4 linked regions of the Drosophila melanogaster genome follow. The protein of the gene in region 2 interacts with the protein of the main gene of each other region in a pairwise test. Each region holds a gene or a part of one and is shown on either strand. Other genes may lie near its edges.

Evidence for each region.
Region 1: the proteins of Cyp9f2 (region 2) and kat80 interact in a two-hybrid assay, tested with the Drosophila melanogaster proteins (one large-scale study listed by BioGRID).
Region 3: the proteins of Cyp9f2 (region 2) and Hpd interact in a two-hybrid assay, tested with the Drosophila melanogaster proteins (one large-scale study listed by BioGRID).
Region 4: the proteins of Cyp9f2 (region 2) and CG15382 interact in a two-hybrid assay, tested with the Drosophila melanogaster proteins (one large-scale study listed by BioGRID).

The regions. Positions count from the first base shown.
Region 1 is NC_004354.4:16,272,765-16,278,948, forward strand, and holds the start of kat80 (katanin 80), read right to left. Parts: upstream 3,417-6,184; 5' UTR 3,352-3,416; intron 3,154-3,351; exon of another isoform or gene 2,990-3,153; 5' UTR 2,803-2,989; coding exon 2,769-2,802; intron 1,928-2,768; coding exon 1,800-1,927; intron 1,738-1,799; coding exon 1,520-1,737; intron 1,052-1,519; exon of another isoform or gene 849-1,051; coding exon of another isoform or gene 1-848. Other genes in the region: Mfe2 (peroxisomal multifunctional enzyme type 2), read left to right, coding at 1-848; Prosalpha4 (proteasome alpha4 subunit), read left to right, coding at 3,654-3,755, 3,833-4,062, 4,128-4,545.
Region 2 is NT_033777.3:12,402,155-12,408,308, forward strand, and holds Cyp9f2 (cytochrome P450 9f2), read right to left. Parts: upstream 3,875-6,154; 5' UTR 3,755-3,874; coding exon 3,549-3,754; intron 2,736-3,548; coding exon 2,216-2,735; intron 2,155-2,215; coding exon 1,497-2,154; intron 1,440-1,496; coding exon 1,273-1,439; 3' UTR 1,186-1,272; downstream 1-1,185. Other genes in the region: Sol1, read left to right, coding at 1-56, 126-327, 384-726; CG5167 (uncharacterized protein), read left to right, coding at 4,570-5,865. UniProt on the Drosophila melanogaster protein: May be involved in the metabolism of insect hormones and in the breakdown of synthetic insecticides.
Region 3 is NT_037436.4:20,436,962-20,442,432, reverse strand, and holds Hpd (4-hydroxyphenylpyruvate dioxygenase), read left to right. Parts: upstream 1-2,560; 5' UTR 2,561-2,658; coding exon 2,659-2,661; exon of another isoform or gene 2,662-2,878; coding exon 2,879-2,905; intron 2,906-2,972; coding exon 2,973-3,356; intron 3,357-3,414; coding exon 3,415-4,068; exon of another isoform or gene 4,069-4,132; coding exon 4,133-4,207; 3' UTR 4,208-4,267; downstream 4,268-5,471. Other genes in the region: CtIP (CTBP-interacting protein), read right to left, coding at 4,308-4,493, 4,558-5,179, 5,321-5,471.
Region 4 is NT_033779.5:2,153,223-2,158,044, reverse strand, and holds CG15382 (uncharacterized protein), read right to left. Parts: upstream 2,293-4,822; 5' UTR 2,263-2,292; coding exon 1,789-2,262; 3' UTR 1,255-1,788; downstream 1-1,254. Other genes in the region: AIF (apoptosis inducing factor), read right to left, coding at 3,148-3,572, 3,635-4,449, 4,514-4,763.

The sequences.
Region 1 (6,184 bases), on a different chromosome or scaffold from region 2:
CCTTCGAGTTCAATAGCAAAGAGCTTATTACCTACGCCCTGGGCATTGGGGCATCCGTCAAAAACGCGAAGGACATGCGCTTCCTGTACGAAAACGATGCCGATTTCGCCGCCATTCCAACTTTCTTCGTTCTGCCCGGCCTTCTGCTGCAAATGTCCACCGACAAGCTGCTCAGCAAGGCTTTGCCCAACAGCCAAGTGGACTTCAGCAACATTCTGCACGGCGAACAGTACCTAGAGATCGTTGACGATCTGCCCACCAGTGGCACTTTGCTGACCAACGGCAAGGTCTTCGATGTTATGGACAAGGGATCCGGCGCCGTGGTCGTCACCAATAGCGAGTCGTTCGACGAAAGTGGCCGCCTGTTGGTGCGCAACCAGAGCACCACTTTCATTGTCGGCGCTGGCAAATTCGGAGGCAAGAAGGATCCCATCGCTGGTGTAGTTCCGCTGCAGCCGGCGCCCAATCGCCAACCGGACGCAACCGTCCAGTATACGACCAGCGAGGACCAGGCGGCGCTGTACCGTCTGTCCGGCGACAAGAACCCCCTGCATATCGATCCCCAGATGGCCCTGCTGGCCGGCTTCAAGACACCCATCCTCCATGGACTCTGCACACTGGGCTTCTCGGTGCGCGCCGTGCTCGCTCAGTTTGCGGACAACAACCCGGCTCTGTTCAAGGCTGTCAAAGTGCGCTTCTCCGGACCCGTAATTCCGGGCCAGACTTTGCGCGTGGACTTGTGGAAGCAGGGCACACGCATCAACTTCCGCACCGTGGTCGTGGAGACCGGCAAGGAGGTCATATCCGGCGCCTATGTCGACCTGAAGAGCTCACAGGCCAAGCTGTAAGCGCGGATCACCTAGAGACACATAGTCTGCCTTAGTCGCAATGGATTATCATTGACTTTATAATTCGTTTCGCGTCCGTTTTTTTTTGTACATACACTATAACAAATATGCCTATACATATGCAATTGTTTAAACGCCCGTGGTGGTAGAAGTATTTTTTTGTAACACTTTTATAAAACTCCCAATAAAACATCACATAACTGAAAATGCAATGTTGTTTAAGATCATGGATGTAATAGATCTGAGAGATAAGATATATGAGATCCCAAAAGAAATATCAACTTTAGCTAAACAACACAAAGTGATATTATCTTTGTCAGCCTGTCCCCTTTTGTGCAATGTAGTGAGTCATATTATCTTTGTTTTACACATATATAGGTCAAGTGATATCTAAGAAAAGACCATATAGATACAATGCATCTAATATGTATGTGCATTAAACCGATATAAAATTTCTAATTTCTAAATATGAGATTTTTCTTTTGTGTAGATTATTAAACCCAAAATACGCGATTCTATAGGATTAAGCACAGCTAAAAGAGGGAGGGAGAATATCGCCATCCCTTTTCAATCAACGAATAAACTTTAAATCTGCCACTTGATAAGGAAACTAGAGCTTCCGAATGACTCATGGGTTACTCTGACTATTTATATATCGGTCCTTGGCTCACCTGACGGTGGTATCATTGCTCCCGGACACCACATATTCTCCAGACGGGTTAAAGTCCAGAGTGCGAACACTCTTCATGTGGCCATTTAGCGTGGAGTAGATTTTCTGTGAATTCAGATCCCATCTTCGGATTATACCGATGTCGTCGGCGGAGTAGACAAAGTTATCCTTATAAGCAAAACGCACGCAATCGATGGAACGATTGTGGCCCGTCAGAGACTGAAAGGAAAGGGTCACCGATTAGTACATACATATATTTAGGAAGTAGTTAGTATATTCACCATAAAGCACTCATTTTGACCAATCGCCCAGAGGTTCACATTGCGATCCTCTCCTCCGGTGACCAGCACTCGTCCAGTTTCGCCAAGATCAAGGCTCGTGACCCTGCTATCATGTGCCTTTATATCGTCTGCAAAGGATGAGAATTGGTTAGTCCTCTTCGGCAAGTTTTCATGATATGATGATATAGTTAGTATGTTCAGATTAAGCTATGCTTTAAACAACAGCTTTTCAAGATCAAAAGGAAAACTTACAACAAATATATAATAATAAAAATATGATATTTTCGTATTAGTATATACTCAATAAATACAATTTTATAATGATTTTTGAATCTTTTCAAAGGAAACTGTGTCGATATAAATAAATAAGTACCTTTTACGTTATCCACATTTATGAATGACAAGGATTACTAGTATTTTGAAAAGCAAAACAGATAAAATAAAGCTAGGAAATCGATGTACATACATACATATGTACAGTATATATGTACATACATATGTACGTAAATGTACGCATTTCAAAGAAATTGAAAACTTGTTCCCAGATTAAAACCTTTTTGAACTTCTATAGTTCTTGGGATTGAATTGAAGTTTTCTAAAGGCTATATACAAATATTATTTTAAAGTCTGAAGAAGCCGTATGATGTTTATTTGATATTGATATTGCGTTGTAAAACAAGATATTAATTACTTTAAAACGAACAATTCAGCTGCAGCTGCACTCAATGTTCATATGTATCTACATACATACATATGTGCACCTGGGGATTTTCCTATTGGATATCTGCATTGTTTATAAGAACGCGTGGTATTGTTTTAAAAGTTACTGAAGTTGCATGCAACACTAGAATTTACGATAGGATTTCAAACACGCACGCACACACACATATATACATGCAGTCGTATTTCTACGTGCTTGTGTGTGTGTGGGAATATACAACGGTACTTTCGAACATTCGGTTTACTTACAGATCTTGGATATCAGTTTTCTGGGCAGCGCCATAATCAATCAAATTGTTCTTATATAAATACGCTGGCAGCTGCTAAATTCGATCCGAATGCCAGGTTTTCGAATAAATATTATCTTTTTGTAGCAGGTGTGAGCCAAAGTCTGTGATCAGCTGTCTGGGCTCCCGTCTTTTTTGGGCAAAATGAAGCCCACTTATTTACGAAACGAACAACAAAACGCACTGAAACAAAATCACACGGTGTGTAAAACCTTTACGAACCGATATCACCGTGATCGCATTGTTTAAAAACAGATAATCTAAATGTTTAATCGGACAATTCTTATTAACAAAAACAAATGCACATCACATTGTAATTACAGCGACGACGAGGGCTGCAGCAAGCTGTCGATGAACACCGATTACCAGGGCCGGCATAGCGATTGCATTTTGTACATTTAAGTAACAGTCGTTGGTTATAATTATTAATACATATATATATATATATATTGAAAATAATTTGTATTATAAATTTGTATTATTAAATAACAATAATAACAGATAATGTGAAAAAAAATTAATTGATATTTTACTAAATTATTTACAGCCCTGAAGCTGTAAAACGGTTTACAAAAGTATTAAATTAAATATTTAAATAGACTAAATGGAATAGAATATTAAATAGACTGAAGTAACAAGAATTGAATTGATTCTGATACATGATTTCAGCAACGATATATCGTTCACTGCGAAACGGTATTAATTTAGTAATTTTCATCGAACCCATGCTGCGGTCACACTGCGGCATTTCCTCAAAAAAGCATCATCATTGCCTGGCGAATTCGAGAAGGAAAAAGCTATAAGTTAATATTCTGCAAGTACCTCAGCTATTGAATAAAGCAACAAGATGTCCTCACGCTACGATCGTGCTGTAACCATATTCTCTCCCGACGGTCACCTCCTGCAGGTGGAGTATGCCCAGGAGGCCGTTCGCAAGGGATCGACTGCGGTAAGTGCAATTTAGTACCGTTCGCAGTGCCGCCAAACCGAAACAAACATGGACTTTTCCAATTTTTCGCCTCGCAGGTCGGAGTTCGCGGCGCCAACTGCGTTGTGCTTGGCGTGGAGAAGAAGTCGGTGGCCCAACTGCAGGAGGATCGAAAGGTGCGCAAGATTTGCATGCTCGACAACCACGTTGTAATGGCTTTTGCCGGTCTCACGGCCGACGCTCGCATCATGATCAATCGTGCCCAGGTGGAGTGCCAGAGCCATCGTCTCAATGTCGAGGATCCCGTGACCCTCGAGTACATAACCAGGTGAGGATTTGTGAAATAGTTGCGCTCTAAATTAGCTTCTATATGGTTTTGGCCTTTCATTTTAGATTCATTGCCCAGCTGAAACAAAAATACACGCAGAGCAATGGCCGCCGTCCCTTCGGTATTTCCTGCCTTATTGGCGGCTTCGATGCCGATGGCTCTGCGCATCTGTTCCAGACTGAGCCGTCGGGCATTTTCTACGAGTATAAGGCTAACGCCACCGGGCGATCGGCAAAGGTTGTGCGCGAGTTCTTCGAGAAGTCCTACCGCGAGGAGGAGGTGGCCAACGAGCACGGAGCCGTCAAACTGGCCATCCGTGCGCTGCTCGAGGTGGCGCAGTCAGGCCAGAACAATCTGGAGGTGGCCATCATGGAGAACGGCAAGCCACTGAAAATGCTGGACACCGATGTCATTACCGATTATGTTAAGATCATCGAGAAGGAGAAGGAGGAGGAGCTCGAGAAGAAGAAACAGAAAAAGTAACACCCAGCAGCTGGGACACTTCTTCGATGGAAGGCCGTTGCATTGAATCGCTTTCCATGCATTCGGCGACACTATCTGGTGTCGCCGCCCACATTCTGTCTGCTCATTGTAGCCAACCTGATTTGACTTGGAAAACGATTCAAATTGAATTCGGTGAACCGAATGCATACTTTTTTTAATTACCACTTTCTATTCTTCGGAACCCTGTAAAACGGTATGAAAATATTTGATCTGTATAAAATACATGCGTCATCATACATTAGGCGGAGCTCCTGTTGAATATTCGAACTTTGTTCTTGCATTTGGGATTCAAGATTGTTCACGGGAGGATTATGGGCAAGCTATTGGGGGGTATAAAGGGTTAAAAAACTTACATTAGTGGTATGACATTGCACTTTAATGGCAACGTATCATCAGGCCCAAAAAAGTAATTGTAAACATACCACGATTTTACTGGACTTTATTGCTATATATTGTACATGTTTCGTAATTGAAAAGTACACATTTTCCAGTTGGGATATTATACAAGCAAAAGAACGGGGGAAGAAAAAAATAAATTGTATTCAAATAAAAATTTCATTTGGCGGGCTCTTGCAAAGAGCAACAAGAAATGCAATGACAGTCTGGCAACGCCGTATTAGCACGACTCTCCATGCTAAGGCGATTTTCTGGGAACACCTATATAAAAAGAATGTGCAGATAGAAAGCTTTGGAATATTTCAATAGCTTGGAAATATTAGAAAATGTGATAAAAACACGCCAGTAAGGTGCCGGTCTGACAGTCTGGCAGCACTGTTCTTGTCGAAAAGTTGTCTGCGAAAAGTTTTGCATTAAAAATCAACTTGTTAGCAAGTTAAGAGTACGAACTTATTCCAATTCTAATTGGAAAACTCCTAAATTGTGATAATTTCGTAAAAAACTCTATGCAGGCTCGTGCAGTGTGCCCAGCTGGTGGCTAAGCGCAAGTACCTTCATTCGCGCGCCACTTAACTGAGGCGTTTTGGTATTCCCTGCAGATGGAGCGACCGGTTGAGCGATCCGATTGTTGCACCGATAGTTCGGCAGCTATATATTCCAAGTCGGAACCGAATCGTTTGCATCGCCCGCTGTTCGTTCCCCAGTCAAATTTGTGTGTTGTGTGCGCCAATTTCAGCGGGGGCCAAAATCGATAATCTGGTTGTGTGATTTTCGCGGCTTTTTTTTTGTGTTTTCTTTTAAAAAACAATCAATACCCGAAGGTAACGTGTGTAGACAACTAACAATTCACCTCAGTGTGCGTTTGCATTCGTTGACGCTTGACATATTGGTACACATTTTATTATTATTTTACCTTGTTTGTCGTTTTCAAAACTCAAATTGCATGCGAAACACGAATCAAATCCAGTCGAATGAAATCGAATCCAATCGAATCACTATCTGAATTCAGAACCACCGAATCGGAATCAAAATCTGGTATGGGAATCCTTCGAATCAACCAACAAATATCGCACCGGGTTCAGGAAAAAGGATGCTCGGATTGTGGGATGGGTCGTTGTGGTAAGGGGGTCGTGGGCGGGGGTTCTTAACCCAGAACGCGCTTAAGGCCCCTTCGCACGACCTAAATTCCGCATGGAATCGCCGCTTTTGAGGCTTAAAAGAG
Region 2 (6,154 bases):
AATGACGAACAAGGTGCAATACTACGGATTTCGCGCGGAGTACCGTTTCTTAACCAGTAAGTGTTTCCACTGAGTCTTAATCAAATAAAGACTGATATTTATTTAAAAATTGGCTTATTTTCAAGATTTTGGTATCATGTCGGGGATTCAAAAGGAAGGATGTTCCTTTGTCTACAATAGCAGCGAGCGAATAAGTGGCCTATTTCACTCTCCGAATTTTCCCGGATATTACCTGGAAAATGTTGTGTGCAATTATTATTTCTACGGAGCAAGTGACGAAAGAGTTGTGCTTCACTTCACATATTTCGATATCGAGGGCATTGGAAGGTAAGATCTTTATCTAAACTATCACCTAAAAATGTTTAATCCCCTTTTCTGTGCAGTTGTGACCACCAAACCGCCAGCGATTACATCGAGTTTTCCAATTTCATGAGCACGGATCGAAAGTTCAGCAGATACTGCGGAAAGCTTCCCGATTTTGAAATGCGTTCTGATGGACGTTTCTTTCGAGTCACCTTGCATTCCAATGATCGCTTTGTGGCCATCGGATTCCGCGCCCTGTACACCTTTGAAACCGTTTCAGTGAATAATTCCATCACCGATCTTCGGGATAATGCCTCCATGCAGAGTTTCGTCTCAACAGCGTCAACTCAGCCGGTTGCAAATGTAAACAAATTAATTGCATGTATCTTATGCACTTATAAAGCATACCAATCTTATGTTTAAAATATAGAGACAAAATATTTCGAAATTTTGTTTTCTAATTCTTTAATAAATTTTAATAATTTTTTTCTATTTTAATGGCACACAACTTCATTAAATTTAAATATTTAATCTTGGCCAAATTATCGTTTTAAAAGCAATCGATTTCATGTTGGCTATCGAAGTTTATGCGTAGTAGTTCAAGAACTAACAATTTAAGTTGAGGGATTTTAAGTATTAGGATGTAAATTAAACGTGATATCATCGATAAAAACTCCGCCAAGCATTTTCATTTTCAATAGTTTCTGGTAAAAATTATTTATTTAATTTCAACTTCATTATCAGAGTTACCGTGTAAACGAGCCACTCGTTGTTATCTGCAATCGATCTTTACCTGTTCGATTCAGTTTTGTAGAGTCACGACATAAGTATATGCTATCTTTTTATCATTTTTGGTATAAATTAAAAACAAAGAAACAAATTACCATTAATTGTTTAAATTTAATAATGTCAACTTCTTTAAAACATAACATTCAACAAAACATATTATTATTTTGATCGTTTATAAGATTAGTTCCTTTGAACAAGTTTAATCCAAAAGCCGCCTTTGGGTGACAACTGAAAACCGGAAGTAATGAGCTCTAGTGGAATGCAGGATTTCTTGGCAGGGGCAAAGCGGTAGTCCTTCAAAAGATAGTAGATAACAGCCTTTGCTTCAAGTAGAGCGAATCGGGAACCTATAATAAATACATTTTACATTTTTTCGAAGAACAATTTTGAATCAATCAACTTACCAATGCAGTTGCGTTGACCCAGGCCAAAGGGGAAGTATGTGAATGGCTGAATAGACTCCTTGTTCTCATCGCTAAAACGTTCCGGATCGAACTTCATAGGGTTCTCAAAGTACTTGGGATCACGATGGAAGCCGCATGTAGGCAGCCAGATGACATCGCCCTTCTTGACCTCGACTTTCTGGCCATCCACATCGAAGGTGATATCCTTGTTGCATTCTCGATCGACGGCAATTGCCGCCGGCCACTTTCGCAGAACCTCGTTGACGACCTGATCCAGATACTTCATGCCCATAATTGCCTCATAGGTCAGTTCTTTGCCCTCCAGGTCTTGGTCCACTTGCTGTACCTCCTCGTATAGCCTCTGCTGCACATCCTGGTTCTCCATTAGCTCGTGAGCGGTGAAGCACATCAGCACCGCCGAAGTCTCGAAGCCAGCAAAGAAGAACACGAAACACTGGGCGACAATGTCGCGATCGCTCCACTCGCGAACGGCAGATGCCTTGGTCTTCTCCGTCTGGATGATACCACGAGCCTCCATCAGCATGTTTATCATGTCGGGACGTACAATATTGTGCTCCTGTCGGTATTTCATAGCATCGAGCACCAGACGCACGAAATACTGAGTGCTTTTCCTATCGAAAAGCTCGACCTTAAGGATCTACAAGGATTATTAAAATTAAGGAATATATTTTTTTGATATGTGTGTATGCTGTGCCAACCTTATTAAGACCCTTCAATGCGAAGAACAACATGAACTTCATGCTCTGCAGGAATGTAAATGTGGTCAGCTTTTTTCCCATCTGATAGAAGGTATTTTCGCGATCCTTGAACGAGTTCACTTGCAGTCCAAAGGCTGTCGAGGCGATCACATCATTGGTGAATCGTGTGCAGTAGTCCTTCATGTCCAGTTCATTCTCCTGAACCCTTGAATCATCCTGCTTAAGACAGTCCACGGCCTCCTTGGCCACCTGGTTCATCAGCTGGAACATCTGACGCATTTTGCTGCCTGTAAATGCCGGACTCAGAGTGCTTCGCATATCCTTCCACCGAGCATCTCGCATGGAGAACAGCGAGCTGCCGAAAAGGTTACTCATGTCATGTGGATCATCATCGCTGCTGGTGGCAAACACATTGCGATGATTGATAAAGTGATCGAAGTCCTTTATGGTTATCTGCTTGATAAGATCTGGGTCGCGCACCATTAAAAGTGGTTGTCGCTGCTCAAAGATACCAAAAAATCTAAAAAAAATAATAATGTTAATGACCGATAAGCTTTTTGTGAGTCACACACTGATAAATCAAATCAGAAATTATTAATCGTGCGCTCAACAAGTTTAGAAAACGATAACAGAAATTCGAGTTTATGCATGGCTAGCGTTGTTCATTACCTATCCGACGAATTTTCAATTAACCCATCTCGATTTCTTTTTGGAAAACTATAAATTTATAAAGCGGATTTCTCGTATTGGTCTATAAATAAATCATATGTACATTAAATCCAATTGAAAAGGCTGAGTACAATAATGATTGCATGTTTATAAAGTAACAAAAAGGGTAAAGTCATACAAAGAGTTGCCCCAATATGAAGTTAATTAATAAATTAGATAACCTTATCGTTATAGCACTTTTCAGGAGCTTTATCAATTATTTTTCCTATCAAGTTTGCCGTCCGAGACAAACAACATTTAAAGCTGTCGTATAATCGATAAGATTATGGCAAACTAAACTAATAGAACCAAGCATTTCGCCAATTATCTTGGCAGTTACACACTGCTTTAGATAAAAGACTTAACAAAATATAATAGAGTATTTCTGAATTTCTGTAATTGTATATTCAAAACGTAGTCGAACGCAGCCGCACCCACTAAATGTGTGTATAGATAGATCACTGATTGCCTGACCTTGACATACGATTTTATATAGGCTTGTACGCAATGCTGGAGGCCAGTAGATACACACTTGTTCCAAACGTGTTTTAAGTGCAAGTGCAAGTGAGCCGGATGCATATTAGGTAATCAACTTATTAAATCCGGATCAATGAATTTAACTCACTTCTTACTTCCGCCTTTGGTGTAGAGATCACAGACTATGTCAAACATGGCCCTCTTCCGCAGGAACATGCCGGCCATGTTGCCAAAGTAGAGCACTGGCTTTTCATAGGCGATGCCCCTATCCTTGAAGAAATCATTGTTGGCGGACGCCCAACGGTAGAACAAGGCGGCAGCGATCGCAAATAGGGCGAAGAACTCCCACAACATGTTGACCCTAGCTTGGCGATCTAAGCGTCCAGAATATAACTAACTACGCCACAAACAATCGGGAGCGTTTTGTTGTCCCCACGCAGAGCTTTCTAACAAAGCTTCGTGTACTGCATTTGATAAAATACTTGTTGTCTGTAATACACACAAGTATGTACAAATTTCTGAGCGCAAATGATTTAGAATATCACTCATCATTTCATTATCACGGCGTGTTGGAGAAAATGCTGACGACTCTGAGCATACCAATATTATGTTTAAAATATAGAAACAGAATATTTCGAAATTCTGTTTTCTAATTCTTTAATATATATTTTTTCTATTTTAATGGCACACAACTTCATTAAATTCATATATTTAAACTTGGCCAATTTATCGTTTTAAAATTCATCGATTTCTTGTTGGCTATCGAAGTTTATGCGTAGTAGTTCGAGAACTAACAATTTGATCTGAGGGATTTTAAGTATTAGGATGTAAATTAAACCATCATCACCATAAATTAAATTATCATCGATAAAAAAGGACGCAAAGCATTTTCATTTTCAATAGTTTCTAGTAAAAATATTTTATTTCATTTCAACTTCATTATCCGAGTTACTAGCCACTTGTTGCTATCTGCAATCGATCTTTACCTGTTCGATTCAGTTTTGTACAGTCACGACGCTACTATCTTCAATAAATACAGCTCTTATACGGTGCGATTAGCATTATTAACATTTCGCCAGTCGGCCGAAGCAGACGAATTACCTTTCGGTCTGGAAGTGATAAGACATTTCTAGTCAAATCATTATAGTCGCATATCTGTGGACTCTGGAATGGCGGCTAAGAAACTGGATGCCATAATCTTCGGTGCCTCCGGGTTTACCGGAAAGTACACCGTCTTCGAGGCTGTCAGCGTGCTGAAGGGCCTGCAATGGGGCATCGCCGGACGCAACCAGGAGAAGCTGCAGTCGGTGCTGCGGGAGATGGGTGCAAAGTCCAAGACAGACCTCTCCCAAACGCCGATCGTCATCGCGGACGTGAACAACGAGGCGTCACTGCTAGAGATGGCCAAACGCTGCCGCATTTTAGTCAATACGGCCGGACCATATCGGTTCTTCGGCGAGCGAGTGGTCAGGGCTTGCATCGAGGCGGGAACGCATCACGTAGACGTAAGCGGAGAGCCACAGTACATGGAAACCATGCAGCTGCGCTACCATGATCTCGCCAAGGAGCGTGGCGTGTACGTGATCAGTGCGTGCGGCTTTGATTCCATTCCCGCCGACATGGGAGTCACCTTCGTGGAGAAGAACTTCGACGGCGTGGTCAACTCAGTGGAGAACTTTGTCCATCTGGGCGTCAAGGGAGGTACCAAGGGAACGGGCAGTGCTGCACTCAACACCGGCACCTGGGAGAGCGCCATTCACGCTATCGCCAACCGGAGCGAGTCTGTGGCCATCCGGCGCAAGTTGTTTCCCGAGCGTCTGCCCAACTTTCATCCGGCTCTTAAGTCACGATCGCCGCTTTCCCGTGCCGCGGAAGTGGACAACAAGGTGATCCTGCCGTTCCCTGAAACAGATCGCTCGGTGGTGATGCGCTCGCAGCGTTTCCTTTACGAACTGGAGAAGAAGCGACCCGTTCAGATGCAGGCCTACATGACGTATCCCTCATGGTTTGCGGCCAGCGTTGTCGTGCTCTTCGCCTCTATCATTGGCATTATGGCCAAGTTCTCCTTTGGCCGCCAGCTGCTGCTTAAGTACCCCACCGTCTTCTCCGGCGGCATGGCTTCCCGCGAGGGTCCCAGTGAGGCGCGGATGGAGCGCTCCTTCTTCAGAATGACCATGAAGGCCACAGGCTGGCCCAAGTCCGAAAAACTAGCCGAGACCACCGATCAGTACACCTCTCCGCCCACAAAGACACTGACCGTGAGGGTTACGGGTCCCAATCCCGGCTATGGATCCACTTGCGTTGCACTGCTCTCCACGGCGAAGACCATCCTCAACGAAAGCGACAAGATGCCCGGATCCGGCGGAGTCCTGCCACCCGGAGCAGCCTTCCGTGGCACCAGTCTCATCAGCGAGCTGGAGAAGCACGAGCACGGCATTAAGTTTGAAATCGTGGCCAACAAATAGTGTCTTTAATGAGGTGCATTCGATGTTATTAAAAATACATATATGTATGTATGTATGTTAAATATATTTATCTTAATATGAAATTTGGATTTACGTTTGCATTACCTATTGATTAACTAATTTGTGCCATTAGCTTACTCACAAATAATTATTATTTATTTCAGGGAAGAATTAATATTTATATATGTGTTTATTACTATAACCAGTTCGGTTCCACTTCTTTTAAAAATAGTGCTCCAACTGGTTCTTGGGTTTCCAAGTATTTGCAGGCACGGTCACACCGACACAG
Region 3 (5,471 bases), on a different chromosome or scaffold from region 2:
ATTTTTGGCTTGTTGTTTGGGCAGCGCAGTAAACGCGACTGAAGGATGGAAAGCGTGACGTCGACCGGCGACAGCTTGCGGCTATGGCAACAACAACAACCACAATAGCAAGGACCATAACACAGCACTGAGAAAAAAGTGTGCAGAGTTGCAGATTAGAAATATTTTACTTAGTAAGGATTTTAGCCAAATTACTACCGCTTTATTCCAAGCATTTAACCATAAAATAAGTATTTGCATAACTAGTGAGATTAATATTAAATTGTATATGAATATAAATATAAATAAAGGTAATAAATAAGGAACACAATATTTATGATCTCAATAAGCAAATAGTTCCATGAGCACTTTCAAAGTAAGGTAAAACATTAAATGAAATAAGAGTCACTCCGAATTTCTTTCTGTGCATCCGTTTTGAAGTTACTGACGACAACAATAGAGACCCACATCCTTCTGTCTGGGAATAGTCCTTTTAGAAAGCAACCCCCGTGAGAAACTTTCACTGCTGGCAATGCCGTCTAGCCGAAAGAGCGCAGGACTCACCGCTCCAGCCGCAGAAAAGAGAGAGGTAAAAGGAATCTTAATATCCTTATAGAGCAACAGGCTACCCACATCAAACCCGAAGCCAACCCGAGCTCAGCCAGGTACCGTTCCCATTTCGCCAAGGACAAAAGTTTGCTCAGCTAATGGCAAATCTGAGCGGTTGGGATTTTTATTGGGATAGGTCCGAGGGAGTGCGTCGGGATTCTTTGACTAATGGAACCCAAGGAGCGCCAGGTGTAAAGTAAACAAATAGAAAACCTCGCAGTTTATGAGGGCGATAATGGAATCAATGTTGTGAAAGGGCTTGGGAGGATTTGAAATTAGAAAGTTGCCCCAATTGTGTATTTTCAGATGCATTACTTTGCATGAATGTGAATAGAATGTTCTTTATTAATACGCCTAGGAATTTAATGGGTTTGTTATAGAAGAACCTTTTCAGTCATATGGTTTAATAGCTACAATACCATCTGGAGCAATTTGGCGACAAGGGCCACTTCCAACTCCTACCACTTTTGCCAGATTGTCGCCTATGCAGCGCCCTAATAAGCCAATCATAATAAATGTCAAGCATTGATTTGGCTTCTTGCCAATGACCAATCGACCATCGCCCACTCTTTCCCAACCTATTCCATCCCATCCCCACCTCACCACTTCCATCGGACTGTCAGTTCATCATTAGCAGCTGGGGGAGACTTTGTCTAGGGCTAATCATTAATGCTTAGCTGCCTGAATTGCTCATACGCCATGTGTGCAGGGAACATAGCATGTGGCTGAGCGGCAAAAACTATTAATTTATGGGCTTGTCGCATGTTGCCAAACACCTGACACGAATCGTCAGTCAAAATGATTAAGAGAACTGCCCTATCCCAAAAAAAAGCACAGGGGCAATATCTCGATCAAAAGATCTTTAAAGCAAGCACAAGATAAACTTTTTTTTATTACTATGATAGAAATAAACGCCGTTTAACAATTATGATCTTATAATCTCAACATATTGGCTGCTTGTTGAATTACATTTAAATCTATATCTATATTATCTGTATCATTTATAGTGATGTTGTCTAACTTTAAACTAAAGAATAACGATCACTAAAACGCTCATTCATCTATAAGCAAGATATTCCTAAATACCTATAAAAATAATAGAACTTGCTTAAATAACTAATCCAGTTCCCAAAACCAGTCTTGCTATATTTAAATACAACTGAATTATGCGCTTTCAAATAAAGAAAATAACCATCAAGCTAATGATTTGAAATCCTTTTCCAATCCTCTTAGAGCTATTATCCCCGCAATTAAAAACCGATAAAGGCAATCATCAATTTAGATGATTTGTGACTAGCGTGTGCCGCTTTATTAGATCGTAACAACAAACAGATTTGTTAACCAGTTTTTGTACATTTGTTTTGAGAACCTTGCAAAGCGGTTCTAATGCAAAACAACTTCAATAACGCCCCACATTATGCACTGTGTAACAATGGCAATAACAATAACAATTCAGATAGCATTAACACTCAGTTGGCCCATTGTTTGCGTTTTTGGGGGCTCGAAACTGGAATCAAGTTTAGTACGACTTGGCAACCGATTTTCGAACTCACTAGACTTGACTTCATGAATATTTAGCTGAATTCTGACATGGGCCGAACTTTTGCATAACGAACACATAGTTATCTGTATCTTCATGTAACGAGCTTAAGGAAGTGAAATTTCGAACGCAGAACTTGCAAAGCGCCGCTCAGATACGAAGTAAACAGATTGGAGGCCCGACCCGCATTACAATATTGCAATTCATTCCGCTCGAGATTGCATTAATTAAGTAATCCACCTGTTCTAGTAAACAAATCCATGCAGGTTTAGCTTAAATATGCGATCAATAACCAGCTAGCTAAGATATTCCGATAATATGGCATTCGAAATAAACAAAATACTAGTTTGGCTTATATTTAAATTAGTACAGGATTTTCACCTGATCCACCTACCTGAGCGCCCTATAAAAAGCCTCCGACTGGCTGAGCTCAGGCCATAATCAATTTGAAGATCGTGTAAGATCGACGGAACGAAGAAATCTATATCGCGTGCGAGGAGAGGATTTGCATAAATTGAGTCTGAGTGATAATGGTAAATGAGACGATGGGACATGTGGTGGCTATGTGGTTATGTAACAGCCCTTTAGTGCGAATTAAATGGACTTTAAAGAGTTCTCAAACAGGATTTATAACAAATACTGTCTAACAAAAGCGGATAAACCAATGATAATTATACAGACTTTCTAAGGATCCATTTCAAGGTGATCTAATTCTAATGACTTCTATTATTTCTTTTTAACTACCAACAGACCAGCTATACTGACAAAGGAACCAAAGTAAGTTCGAAAGCGTATGCCAATATTGGAGCGTATAATGCCAACCTACTTTCTTCACTACTTTCAGCCTGAAGCCGGCAAATTTCTAAGCTTTGATCACTTAACCTTCTACGTTGGCAACGCCAAGCAGGCGGCCAGCTACTATACCACTCGACTGGGCTTCGAACCACTTGGCTATCAGGGATTAGAGACCGGGGAGCGACGCTTCGCCAAGCATGCCGTCCGCCAGAACAAGATCGTCTTTGTGTTCGTCTCCGCCTACACGCCGGATGACGAGGAGCATGGACTCCACCTGATGCGCCACGGCGACGGTGTCAAGGATGTAGCCTTCGAAGTGGAGGATTTGAATGCCATTTTCACACTGGCCGTGTCCCGTGGGGCCGAAGTGGTCCGCGACATCTGGGAGGAGAGCGATGATCAGGGATTCGTGAGATTCGCTACCATCAAGACGGTAAGTCCGTGGATTTCATTCTGGAATATTTAAGGATTAATCCTTAACTTGAATGCAGTACGGCGACACTACCCACACTTTCGTGGAGCGCAATGGGTACGCTGGAGATTTCCTGCCTGGATTCCAGCGGTCGCCCAAAGATGTCCTTCTAAACGGATTGCCCTCCACCAAGCTGAACTTCATTGATCACGTGGTGGGCAACCAGCCGGATCTGCAGATGGAGAGCGTGGCCTCCTGGTACGAGAGAATCCTGCAGTTCCACCGCTTCTGGTCCGTGGATGACTCGCAGATTCACACGGAATACTCCGCCCTGCGGTCCATCGTGATGGCAAACTACGAGGAGACGGTGAAGATGCCGATCAATGAGCCAGCCAATGGGAAAAAGAAGTCACAGATCCAGGAGTACGTGGAGTACTACGGCGGCGGTGGTGTCCAGCACATTGCTCTTAATACGGATGACATTATCGAGGCGGTGAGCAACCTAAAGGCTCGAGGAACCGAGTTCCTGACCATCCCATCCTCGTACTACGAGATCCTTCAGGAGCAGCTCTCGCACAGCCGCACCAAGATCAAGGAGGACATGGAGGTCTTGAAGAAGTTGAACATTTTGATTGACTTCGACGAGAACGGATATCTGCTGCAGATCTTCACAAAGAACTGCCAGGATAGACCGACCCTCTTCCTGGAAGTTATCCAACGCTACAATCACAATGTAAGATTTATTGCTTAACCTACTGTTGCTAAGAACAAGTAAATCATGATCATTACTATTTCAGGGATTTGGCGCTGGCAACTTTAAGTCCTTGTTCACGGCCATTGAAATTGAACAAGCCAAGCGAGGAAACTTGTGAATCAAATGTGATCAAATTGAGAACTAACAAAATCAATAATAAATGAAATGGTCTAAACTGAAAAACTATTTGTAAATTGATTGCCTAAATGTCATTTGTTTTATCTCTGGTCCCAAAACCGAGTGTCTATCAACACTTCGTTGCGTGGATCGCCTTCTGCGAAGGAAACCATGTGTGGATTCCAGAATCCCGGCGGAGTTGAACTGCGAGCGTCTTCATGCCGGCACTTTGCCAAATAATCTTTGATCTTCTCGTCTGTCAGATTTGAACCCATAAAATTGATGAACTAAGTGGATCGAATTTGAAATAAATATTATTTAGTTGTGGATGGTCGAGAAAATTGTACATACCTTTTCGCACTCGACGCACTCAATGTTAAAACGTTCTTTGACCGTCGCCTCAGGTTCCTCCTTGATCAAAATCGGTCGCGGAAACTCCTCCTCCGAATGCCTACTATCCTCTTCTTTGATATCCATAAGATACTTTTCAATATCCTCGGGCAGTTTTGTTGATTCGTTGCCTAAGTCTGTTTCTGGCTGGGATATAGGTTCCATTTTCACGACTTTGGTAATTGGAATGACGCTCTCAACTTTTGGGGCATTTGGTAGGTTTTGCTTCTGCTGGTCAATTATAACCTTCTCGTACTGTCTTAAAGCACTCGAGCACGTGTCGTCATCGTCCTTCATAATTTCGGCCAGAACATCCATGGTGCCCAGTTTGCTCACATCTTCGAGTGTATCATTCACAAAGATTATATCCTGGGTCGCAGGCGTCAATAAAACTACACTATCCGAGGTGTTGCTGATCTTTAAACCTGGCGGCGTGTTCGGTGGGGGCATTATCTGATCTTCCGAGCTGTCCAATTTAAACTCGTCCATGTCCAACTGAAAACTTGGTTTTATGGTCTTGACTGTGCTATTGCTGGTGGTGGTAAGCGAGTCGTCTGCGTTTGAAACGCTCGTGTTGTCTGTTCTGCAACCTTGGCATTTAGTATTAAAAAGAAAGGCAAATGAAAGTGTCACAGCAATCTTAAGAAAGGAAATTCGATCTTCGAGCAATGTAATTGAAAGATATTTCTGTGACACTTTTGGAATAATTCGTAGGGATAATTACCTCTGCATTAAAGATCTCGGCGGCCTAGATCTCTTCAGATTGGTGCTCAAATTGGGACTCTCCTCTATGACTTCCTTTTCACTGGTGCTCGTCCTATTTGCTTCGAATTTAAGGCGAGTTTGCTTCAAGTTCAAGTTGTTGCTCTTGTGTG
Region 4 (4,822 bases), on a different chromosome or scaffold from region 2:
GACAGACACTCTGCTGGATAAAATTCTGGATGCCTTTCGGTTAGGATGGGTCGCTTAGAATGCAATCGAAACGGAAAACTCATTATTGAAGATTGTGTAGCAATTTCATTTCGAAATTTAAGAGAAATTATGAAAACCATCTTGTATTTCTTTCTTACACAAACTTGATATTCAATATTCAATTCAATTCAATTCTTGATCAAAGGCTTCTTCTAACCATTGCTGCTTTATACTTTCTTTGCGGCTGTCAAACGACCTTTCCGACTTTCTGTACATAGAAATCACATCTGCATAAACCAACAAACAATCATACATAAATACATTTATTTTATACATCAAGCGTATTTATTAAGCTAAGCTAAGCAAGAGCAGAGTGCATGTAATTTCGTTGTTGTAAGTAGATTTCTTGAGCCGGCGCAGCGCAGCCTTCGATTATGTGCCAATTTCTACATTTATCAAACAAAAACATAAACAAAAATATGCCTAACCATAATCAATCGTATAAGTAATAAGTAGCGAATAAGGAGTAGAAATTAGCCAGTAGCTTAGACCGTAAGTGTTGCCACCTTTGAGCTTTACAAATGTTGCCTCAACAATGGTTTCAAATTTATGAAAACGAAAAAAAAGAACAAAAAACAAACAAATATTGTTAAAATCTAAAGAGAGAATGTGAAGGAAATATGAAATTTGAATTGTTGTCGAAATTGTTAATTAATATACAAATCAGCATAGAAAGAGTTTTTGTATACAACAAGACAAATTGATTTCGTGTGATAACAACAGAATTATCTTTGATTCACATTGGCTGAATGCTAACGAAACCAGAGCAGTTCCAAAAAGCCATCCTGCAACAGTTTGGCGATCCTTCGTGCGAGGATGGGTCTGCTCTTGCTTCAAGATCAGCCTGGAAAAAGAGCTTTCAAAATTCAATTTCAATTGAGCCCCTAGCCCTAGATACACTGCAACAAGAAACACGGATAGAAAAACATTGGCTTCCATTTTAATATAGCAATGATGATACACACAAGCATATATGTATACACATTAGTTTTCTATTGCTCTTAATTTTATTTTTATTATTTGTACGCTAGTTTAAGTGGCTGCAATCGCTGTGGCAGCAAATGAAGGTGTTCATTTAAGCATTAACAACTTTAGTTTGTAAAACGCTTACGATCTTACCACCACACTTCCACAACCCACCACCACCCACAACGCACTCACCCGCTAAAAACACAATGAAACAATAGAAAATGTACATTTGAAGCACTTTATTAATTACATTAAACGGAATGAACAGAGTTAGGAGAAGATATCATCGCTGCACGTTCATACAATTAGCCTGTAGTGCAACTGTAATTATTAATTATTGTGTAGATCTACGCTAAAGTTAATTTTCTATTTGTTTTTCGTACGCCTTAAGTTTAAACACCGCCAATAGCTAATAATTAGCACTCTAGTGTCGCCACAATACCTGTTCTTCCATTGAAAACGTTATCTTTCGATCAATACATAATTTATATATGTATAAAAAAGGAAACAAATTTATATGCAATAAATAAATTGAAAACTGAAATCCAAGATCCCAAGGATCGATCGCCTTCATCTTTCTCGGGACTGTTATATACTGGGCTACATTTGTTTAAGGATTTCGTTTCGATCTTTTCTGCAATCGTGCAATTCACTGTGGCGTTTTTTGCGAAGATTTCTAAAATCTTGATTTGTGTAAAATTACAAATGTAGAATTGGTTTCAGGCGGTTATCCTAGGATACATAGTTAAACTTTTTTTTTTAGATAAACTCCTGATTGTCCAAAAACTCTCGAATCATATTTCTGCAGGACTTAAGCAAGGTCCTGTTGCAGTTTCGCTCCTTACTGGGAATTGGAGTCCTCGTCTTGGCCTTGACTATCGACTTGTTGCTCACTGAAGTCTCGGATTTGGCCGGAGTCAGGGATCTGCGGAGGATGTGCGATGGTATGGAGCGCTTCTTCAGCGGCTGGCTGGCGACTGGCGGACGAACAGTCTGATCTTTTGGCGTCGTGTTGTCAGCAACTGCCGGCGGTGGAGTCGGGGAACAGGACTCCGTGTAGGTTATAATGTTATTGCACACTTGTCGATCGTATTGGTAGCGGAGCAACAAGAGAGCCGCAGCCGCCTCCAGTTCCAGAGCACTGTGGTTGGCCATGGCTACGTCGGCTGCGTCGGAATCTCTTACTGGCGAGGGAGTCGCCTGTTTGCGTTTATTCAACATGCGGTACTTCATGATTAGACTGTCGAGAAGGAACTGATGTCCTGCTTGTCTCAGGGCAAAGTTTATATATCCCAAGGATGTACCTGCTTATGGGCCACCCGTTCTCGGGCTCTACCTACCAATTGGTCGGTAATCCGAGTGGCCCTAATAAGTAACCACCTTTGGCACAAGAAGTCAGGTAGGATCCTACTTCAGCGAAAATAATATTTCGCGAATTTTATTGATCCTCGCTATATTCAGCTAATCCAGCCTAAAACCCTAAACCAGGTGCTCGTCTTTTATAAGGCAGATGGTTTAGTCAAATTCTGGGAAAATTCCAAAAAAATATGTACATTTAAATTCTGTGCCGTTGTGAGACAACTCGGACAATAAACAAATGGGTTATATGATTGAAGTAAAAAAAATAAGTTCCAAAGTTCCTACGATTTATTTAAATAAGAATCAAAGCAAAATCTCTTAGGATTAGTTAAATAACGGGTGCCTCAGGATCAAAAAGCGGATTTTTCAACACCGAAAATGAATAATTTGAACAGTTTAGTTGGTACGGTGAATTTTTTGTCAACAACTTTCTGGTGCTTGGTTTATTACGAAAGTTACACACAATTCAACAGAGACCCGCTTGTCTACGACTTTTCAATATTTACACGGAGATATGCACTTTGCTGCTACATAACCGAATCAATGTCGTTGACTACAAAATAAGGTTTATTCCAAAAATAATAAAACTAAAATTTCTGTTGCATTGCGTCATTGCCGTTCGTATCTAGTTGCAGTTGCAAATGTACACAGTAAACACAGTTAAAGGCATTCGGGTTGGATAGGTTCTGTTCGGTGCGTGCTGATAAGCATATCAGGGTAGCCAGATCTTCTCCATGGTCCCTCGGGACTCGCTGTTCTCTACGCGTGAATCTCGAACAGTTTGGCCACCTCATTGAGGTCATCGTACTTCTTATTCTGATTGATTATTGTCCTAGCTAAGCCTATCCGATTGAAGAGGTTCCACAGCAGGATGCCGACGATCTTGTCGTTCTTCAAGTAGAATATTACACCCTTGCCATAGTTGCCCGCCTCATCGGGATCACAGGTAACGCCATCTTGGCTAGCCCCGGCATCAGATTTTGACGACTGGCTGGAACTCGTACTGGTCTCCGGCACGTCGGAATCACTAGACTCAGACAGTTGGTCAACGCGCGTGGCGGATTCCGAGGGCAGGGCGAACACACCAACGGTGGGTAGCGAGGAATCCACCAAGCCAATACCCTCGTATCCGATCTCTGGACCTAGATCGGACCAAAACATGCTCTGATGTTGATAAGGTTTCTCTGCAAAAGGTACGGCGAACATTATGATCGATCGGTTATTAACTTTAAGCCCAGTAACTTACTTGCTCCCGTCATGTTCTCGCCGGCCAGCCGACCAGAGACCACCGAGTGATCATGGTGCTCCACCCGTCGCCTGCCCAGCAGAGGATCGAAGAAGCAGGAAGCATCACCGGCCACGTACAGGTTCCGCCTGGCCTCCAGCTCTGCATTAACCACAAAACCGCCGAGACTTCTGTCCACCTCTAGCCTGCTGGGTCCCGCGAGATCCGTGTTTGGCGTGCAACCCACGCAGACCACCACCACGTCCGACATCAAAGTCATTCCATTGTTTAACTCCAACTTTAGATTGGTTTCATCGCGAACTGCCGAGCGAATGCTGGCGTTGGGGATGACGCAGACACCCTGGGCTTCCATCTTTGCCGTCGTCCAGCGACTCAAGTAGTTTGGAAGGACCTTTGACATGTTGGCATTTTCCTGGAACACCTGGTACACTTTACCGCCATTGTTCTCTCTGGAATAGTGTGCCAGGGAGCAGGCCAGTTCACTGCCGATAAATCCATTGCCAACAATTGTGATTGAACGCTTTTCCGCCGCCAATTTGCGGAGGCGATCAAAGTCATCGGGTGTGCGATAGACCATTACTTTTTCGAGCACGCTGGGCGGAGCATCACGCAGCATGGGCAGGTTCTTGGGGGCACAGCCGGTGGCAATTAGGCATTCGTCGTAGCTTATCTCGTAACCGTCGTTCAACGTCACTATGCGTTTTTGAGCGTCCACCTTCTTCACAGAGAAACCTTGAGCGACGGCAATCCCTCCATTTGCATTATCATCCAGATCCTCGGGGTCAATGAAAAACTCATCCGGCTCAAAGAACAAGCTGTGAACAGGAAGGGAATAACTTAATGGGTTTCAATTATATAAAAAAAGTTATTCAGACCTACCTTCTCTCGGATCCCGTCCATTGTTTGAATCGATAGTCCTTGATGGGATCCTCGTTAGGATTGGGCGTATACCACAGTTCCTTGGACAGTGGGGGGCGCATGTAGGGTTTGCGGAACTCGTTGCTAATCATTAAAACCTTGGCTGTTGCATCGTTAGACTTGATGGCTCGGAAAGCAGAGAAGGCAGCGGTTCCGCCGCCGATAATCAGGTACGGCACATGCTTGGGAAGGTCCTCAGAACTGGGCGGACCTGCGCATAGAGAGAAAGTGATAAGTTACCTCGGCCTATCTTGAAAATTGTTGTAATTA